Linked DNA regions of Saccharomyces cerevisiae S288C. The protein of the gene in region 2 binds, or shares a complex with, the protein of the main gene of each other region. Each region holds a gene or a part of one and is shown on either strand. Other genes may lie near its edges.

The links. Proteins that work in one complex are often made in the same cells at the same time.
Region 1: IES4 (region 2) and IES1 share a complex: the UniProt entries of both Saccharomyces cerevisiae proteins name them as parts of the chromatin-remodeling INO80 complex.

What each region holds. Positions count from the first base shown.
Region 1 is NC_001138.5:107,278-112,179, reverse strand, and holds IES1 (Ies1p), read left to right. Parts: upstream 1-2,249; coding exon 2,250-4,328; downstream 4,329-4,902. Other genes in the region: YFL012W (uncharacterized protein), read right to left, coding at 1,087-1,533; lipid-binding protein HSP12, read right to left, coding at 4,595-4,902. UniProt on the Saccharomyces cerevisiae protein: Probably involved in transcription regulation via its interaction with the INO80 complex, a chromatin-remodeling complex.
Region 2 is NC_001147.6:687,484-690,524, forward strand, and holds IES4 (Ies4p), read left to right. Parts: upstream 1-2,140; coding exon 2,141-2,491; downstream 2,492-3,041. Other genes in the region: MSB1 (Msb1p), read left to right, coding at 1-1,697.

The DNA.
Region 1 (4,902 bases), on a different chromosome or scaffold from region 2:
AAAACATGTAGGAACAAACATAAAGAGAATAATTTCACTGGTATAATTCATTTCTGTGTAATAACCCTAACCCAACGGCTACGCCATATCTTTCATAATCAGTCAACTGAGTGTACCCCACATCCGAAACAAAGTATATAACCTTAAAAGTGTCGAAAATAGGTGTCAAATATCGATGAGCACACAAAACCTAGTAGCGGAATTACGACGTCCGTCATTTTCTTAGCGTCGACAAATTTTGATTATACAAAAACAATTCTGAATACTTTGTTAAAAAATACATCCGCTCGATTCAGGGGAGTACAAAAAATAAAAGAAGGCAACTGACAACCCTTGTCAGTCGATAATACAGCGATTAGACTTCTTTCCTTCCTTTTCTACTATAGCTAGCTATAAAGAGCTTGTTTAACAACATATTCAACGCGTTCCGGAGCCGATGAGATGAGGATTGATGACAGTATATGATTTGATAGCGTCACAATAACAGCATCATCACTATAAAGAAACAAAACGAAAAAGGAAACTTAGAGCATTATAGAAAATTAGCTAGTTAATGAAAAATTAAAAATTGAGATTGGTCCTATCATGGCAAGCAAGCTTCCTCTCGTAGTCGCCATCCAGACAGCCGAAATTGATGATACAACGACTGTTTATTTGCGTATGGGATTTCGTGTATACTTCAATGAAAGAAAAAAAAAAAAATATAATAAAACTAATGGTTTTGCAATTTGAAGGGTAAGTTTTTACTGCATATGGCCAAAAAAACTTTTGACTTTTTCATATGTCTATCAAATTATCCATAAGACCATTGCTCATCGAAAGAGATTTCATTTCTTCTCGAAGGCCATTTTTTAATACTCCTTGCAGAATTTTTCCTAATCGTGCATAATCAGTTTTCGTACTTCTCCTCAATGATAACATATTCTTGGAAAGCTGCTTAATGGCGTTTACCAACAATAAATTTATAGACATATACCAAAATCTTCTTTTAGTCCACATATGAACATATTGAAGATATTCTATTGAACAACTTAAAATACTATAAACGCATTCATCTTCTTTTTCTTACTGAGAAATTTTATATTCCTAAAAATTTTGAAATGATCTGAGTTTATTTAGATCTCTTGAACATCCTACAAGAACATTTGAAGGGCAATAATCCTCATCAATACTACTCAATTGTTTTCCATGGGAAAGGATTTCGATCTCTTCCTTTAATATATGTCTTCTAAACCACTTACGTATCCTATCTGTGCTAGAAAGTTTTGTTTTATTCTTCGTATGATCTTCCAATATAAAGTTAGTGTTATTTTCCCACTTCTTGAGGTTACAAACTGGTTCTTTCACTTTCAGCTCCGGATTATTCTGCTTTCTCGTTTCATCCGTTGTTGCGGTAGGTGAATGATTTATTTCAATGACAATGTGTGATACGAGTTCCATTACTTTGATGTAGCCATCATTTTGGAAAGGTGAACTTCCATAAAAAACTGACGAGGAAGACGCAATGGTCCTTTTTGGTCGGGATTTGGGCATCTTTCTATAAGTAGCTAAATTATGGTATTTGATAGCTATATTTGCGACTTATTAGTATTTTGACATTCCATAAAATGCAAAAATTATTTACTATCCTTTTAAATTCAGTTATTATACACGTACATATTTTTTTAAACTGATGCGACAGTTTATCGAGTTTTGTGTCAGAGGACGTGAAAAAATTGCTCTAGTTGAGACCAACATGATTCAGGATGAAAAATTATCCAACGTTCGATTTTCTGGTCTACATGTCATTTGAATAAATTATTTAGCAGACGTTGGATAGAAAGGATTGAAAGATTACATAATGTTATTTCAAAAAAGAGAGAATTGAAATATGCTGGCTGACCTTTACCGAAAACAAGAAGATGAACAGAAGGAAAACCTGAGAGTCGATTGATGTCTCAAAAGACCACTACTGTTATGACACAAAACAATTTAACGACTCTTGATGTAAAGGAACTAAAGCAACACTTTTCTTAACCAAGCCAGTATATATTTTGCAGTATCAGAAATAATCAGACTTTTTTTTTTCTTAGCCCATATTAAGACAATTCTGTAGCATATCGTGTACAACGAAAAACAGGTTACCCTCGAATGCGGTAACGGTACAAGTAAGTAAAGAACGCCCAATGAATGCTGATATGGTATTGGAAACAGTTCATGATTAACTAAGTAAAATCGAAAGCTAAATAAAGGCGACACTCTAATTAAAGATGGGGAAGAGAGTATACGATCCAATTCATGATACTTTCCAACTACGAGAAGACAATTCTGACGAAACAAAAGCAGATTCTCCAATGCAATCTGTAAAATCGGGATCACAAGAAGAAGCATCCCCAAGCTCCATTCAATCAGAGACCGAGACTGTGACTACAAAAAGCATTCCAGTTATACACGAGATTGAAATCGACGATAAAAATGATGATGACTCCACGCAAAGTGAAGAAGAAAATACCAACATCTTGCTCAACTTCGAACCTTCTACAGTGCCTGAAGCAACAGGAGCAAGTACGGCAACGGGGCCAGTGACAACTAACACTGTTAGAAGGAAACCCAAAGAAAGCAATGCCAGTAAATACAATCGTCATTTGAAGAAACCTGACGGCGAGCCATTCAATAGAAAGGACATTCAGTTCAGTTTCATGCAAGAACTGTTGATGGACAAGAGGCAAATCTTCACTAATGTTCTAAAACCCCTATACAAGAACTCTATTGTACCCATTAATATCGATGGCGATAAATTATCAATCAACGTGACCGACAAAGAGTACGATGCAAGGACATTTGTATTTAACGATAAATTGACGTTCGCACAATTGTATGTGTTGACAATAGCCACTTCTATCAAATGTTCCAAAATTCTCAGAGATAAACTATTATTAGACCAACAAGTAGCATTTTCTACTTGTGTTTTAGCGTTATTGGTCAACATTGGTAGGTTGAACACCACTATAAATTTTTATTTAGAAATGACATCGCAATTGAGAACTTTTCACTCCGTGCCAGTTTTACAATTACATGCCAATGATCCGAAACTTTTGCAGGATACACCTAGACTGAAATCTATTCTGAAAAATCTGCCGTGGGGCAATGAGCAACTCTCATTGATGGAGACTTACAAAAAGGTCGACCAAAATGATGGTGAAGTGGACACCGTTAACAAATTTAACATTATTAATATGTTGTTTAGCATATGTGATAATTCCGGCCTAATTGACAAGAGGTTTCTTTCCAAGTATGTGGAAGTCGAATCGAAAGCTCAGGAGCAAGATATGGTAGATGAACAGAATGAAGTAAAAGAAACGGAAGCGGAAAATGAAAAACAAGAATCAAAAGCAGCTTATGCAACAACATTATTTGATATACTGGACTATTCGAAATACGAGCCAAAGGATAGATCAAACATATTGATTTGGCTGCTATATATTCATTTGGAGACAAACTTAAGCCAGGAGGAGGTCGAAGAATCAGTAAGATTTTTCAATGGATTGGAAGATGGTGCACCTGCTGGAAAGTTCATTTTAAGGTGTACGGAACGCAGTTACGACACGGATCCTGAAGATGAATTAGAGTTCGGAGCCAACCAACGCATCAAGAGAAGAGAATTCATGAGTAAGATGGAGGAGGGTAGGAAGCGCGAGCGTACCAATGTTACAGAGGTGAAAAAGCCCAGTATCGGTGGTGACAAGAGTGAAGAGGACGGTGAAGGGGAAGATGACAAGAGCGAGGAGACTGTAGAGGAGACTAGATCACTTTTGACGCCTACGCCCATACTGGAATCTTCTTCACCCATGACATTGAACAGGAAAAAAGTCACACCACAACTGCCCAAAGTAACGCCAGCAGCACCAACAGAAACAGAAGAAGAAATCACCTCCGCTGCTATCATTGACAAAAACGATTTAAATCTAACACCATTGAAAAAATACAATAGTTCGGCTACGGTAAACAAGGTCGACAAGCTAATATCGCTAGATCTGAACAAGCATGTGTCAGAAAATGGTAAGACACAAGAGGAGTTTCTCGCCGATTTGAAAAAATCCCAGGTGCCAAACAGGTTGAAAAGACGCGATATTGGGTTAATCAAGATATTCAATGAATTTGAAGACATCCCCGTAGCGTCAGTGCTTGGGATTCGCGGTAAAAAGAGAAAGAAATTCAAAGATAATTTGCTTGGATTTGAGACGGATTTCATGAAAAATCTCGGCGCTTCAAAGAAAGTACTTTTAAATAAAATCGAACGCGCGGAAATTGATGACGAAGAAGCAACCGCCATGTTTAAGCTGGAGTGAAATAGAACAATACGCACACACACACACACACACATACATACATTTAAGAACATTTTGTAAAGAAAGAGAATTTTTTTTTTTAAAAAAACAGCTAATTTTTAAACTGAACTAGAGTATATGCGTACTTAAGTTTATATATTCCACCTCGATTTAAGCGTTTTTTTTTTAGAATTTTTTTATTACTCTGCTATTCATTGAATATAATATTAAGGAACATCACACATCATAAAGAAAAAACCATGTAACTACAAAGAGTTCCGAAAGATTTACTTCTTGGTTGGGTCTTCTTCACCGTGGACACGACCGGAAACATATTCGACGGCATCGTTCAACTTGGACTTGGCGGCTCCCATGTAATCTCTAGCTTGGTCTGCCAAAGATTCACCTTGACCTTCAGCGTTATCCTTGCCTTTTTCGGCAGAGTCGTGGACACCTTGGAAGACACCCTTGTTGTCTTCTGGTTGAACCTTACCAGCGACCTTGTCGGCCTTGTCAGTGATGTATTCCTTACCTTGTTCAGCGTATGACTTTTGAGAGTCTGGCTTCAAAGCTTCAGAAGCTTTTTCACCGAATC
Region 2 (3,041 bases):
AATGGAATCCTCTAAACAACCTGCGAAAGAAAAGCGGTAGTAACTCTAGTAGTTCATCATTTGAGGAAAAAAGTAAAGACGCTCCCATCCGCGAAGAATACCATACCAACAAAAATCACAAATCGAAAAAAGAAGAGCGAGTACTATCTCAGTTTAGCACACTTAATCCTGATGAATATCAGTTACCAGTAATAGAGACCGGTTCATCAAACTTTAAGATTGAAATACCGGAATTAATGTACGAACACGATGATGACGACAGTGACAAACTTAAAAATTCCCAGAAAAGAGCTACCGACTCAGCTATTGAAGAATTAAACGGTATGGTTGAAGAAATGATGATTAATGAGCCAGACGATGTAAAAATCTCCATAACTGAGGCAGAGACTTTCGAATCATTGACAAAGTTTGATCAATATAAGCCATCCAATATAACTGACGATGACTTACAAAGCAGCCATTCAAGCGCCGTTCACTCATTGAAGCTAAGTACAAATACAAATGATTCTTGCGCTGATAGTTCCAAATACACCGCTGATAGGAAATTAGCGGAACCTAGAAAGATTTCTGAGGAATCCAAAGTCAACGACGATTCATCATCATATTATTCTCCAAATATCAACAACTTGCCGGCATCAAGAATGCCTAGTCAACCCACTTATTCAAATTCGGATTCGAAAAAGGCATTTACGAATGAGTCTCGCCTGAACGTCTTACAAGGTGCAGTCAGTCCATCTCAACAGGTAACACCAAAACCATATAAAAATGCGCCTGGAGACTGTGTATCTCCTGTTCAGCAAAAATACTATCAGAACGATCGTAGAAATGAAATGTCGCCTGCAAGTGCACCAGTTCCACCTTCTGCATATTCACCTGCGAGGTCTCCACAATTCTCCACCAATTCGGCTGGATTCAAGCAGAACACGATTAATGTACCCGTTGGGTATAATGATCCTGCTCACGTTTTAGCAAATCAACCACATATGACATATCGGGACCAGCATAATTATCCATCTCACCAACAAAAACAACGTCCCTTCCAAAACAATATTGTGCCCCCAGAACTAAAGTCCAGAAATCAACGGGCAGATGCTTCACCTATTCCCCAACATATGGTGCCAGTAAAACAAGGTGTGCCCAATCTTCCATCTAACGTTCCATTATATCAACAAATGGAACGAATGAACCCTAACCACCAGCACCCTGTAAATACTTACAAGGTAACTCAGCCGCCGTATCATAATAACACAACAAATGCTTATGGGAACAGCCGGGCAGGCAATGCTCATATGTTAGATGGAAAGTGGAGCAATAATCCGCCGCAAATGGTACCAAAGGGAGTTCGCCCCAATCAATATCCACAGCAGCACGTTAATAGGTATTCACCGCAAGCTCAACCTGTCGTACCTGCGGAATACTACAATGGACCTCCACCTATGCGAGCACCTCCAATGATGTCCCATATGGTACCAGCTCAGGAGCCGATACGTTACACAGCTGGTGCTAACAGGCGTAGTTTTCCCCAAGGCATGCAGCAGAATGCCTATTCCGTACCCGCTCAGCCTATGGGGGCTGTAAATAGTGAATTTTACCTACCAGAAGCTCCTCAGGGAAACAAACTGCATGGAAATATTAACAAAAGACAGGAGAGAAAGAAGCTATATGATAACATTAGAAGCGGAAATTTCGGCATATAGAAACACTTTGTATCTGAAATTATCATCTTTATGAAATCTCAACAGTTGTAAAATTTCCCGAATATTTATACATATATATGTGTATGTAATTACAAGTATTTAGGACAATAAGGAGAGATTTAAGTCTACTACATAATTTTTAACTCCTACAAATGGCAGGTTACGTTGAGTAAGAATATAACATTTTATTTTCCATATTCAACATCATATGCATTTTATCATCTCATCCTCTTAGTCACTAATTTTTCTAACGCTCATAACAAAAGGTGCGTTACGCCGTCTAGAGCTTTTCTTGAACGTTAAAACTTTACCAAGCAGTTGACGGGTAATCATTCTCATAATCCAAGTAATTTTAAAGATATCAACAAAATGTACTATAATGCCAACACATTCTTTACTTATATTGGCCGGAAGATAAATCCAATTTCTCGAGTAATTGTGGTATGTCCCAAGAAAGTAGTGTTTTATCAGAATCGCAAGAACAACTAGCCAATAACCCTAAAATAGAGGATACAAGCCCTCCCTCTGCCAATTCGAGAGATAATAGCAAACCTGTACTTCCGTGGGATTACAAGAATAAAGCCATAGAGATCAAGAGCTTCAGTGGTTATAAGGTAAATTTCACCGGCTGGATAAGAAGAGACGTAAGAGAAGAACGTCAAAGGGGAAGCGAGTTTACTGCATCTGACGTTAAAGGATCAGATGACAAAGCTACAAGGAAAAAAGAACCAGCAGATGAGGATCCTGAAGTAAAACAACTTGAAAAAGAAGGAGAGGATGGACTGGACTCATAAGGTAATGTCAACAGCTTAAAGTTGTTCTCAGGGCCCCACACTTTCTAGTTTGGCACGTCATTTATGAAATTCACAAATTGGTTACATTAAGTACTAAATCTGGTAGCCGACCAAAAAAGAACAACAAATATACAATTGTATGAGTAAATATGCAATATAAATCAAATGTATTTAGTTAAAGGGCCAGAAGTAAGGCTACAGACTGTAAAAGAAAATTAGATGGAAACCCTCTTCAGGAAAAAAGGACATTATAAAAGATACAGCCAAGAAGTGGGCGTTTATAAAACAATTATATAACATGACCGTCGATTATATTCTGACAGGAATGGCGACGATTGCATCGTTATATTTCATTTCATTCCCAACTCAACGATACTGGTATCAAAAAGCCTCTCTGTTCATTATTTGTCCCACTACAAGCGACTCTCTTATTTTTGGCGGTCTCTGCCAGCTTAAGAAAAAGCGGTTACCAAACGACACTAAAAGAAGCGGCGCGTCTGGTTCATTAGAAATTTGTCAGTAATGCTGTCAATCTTTGTGTAAAAAGTCT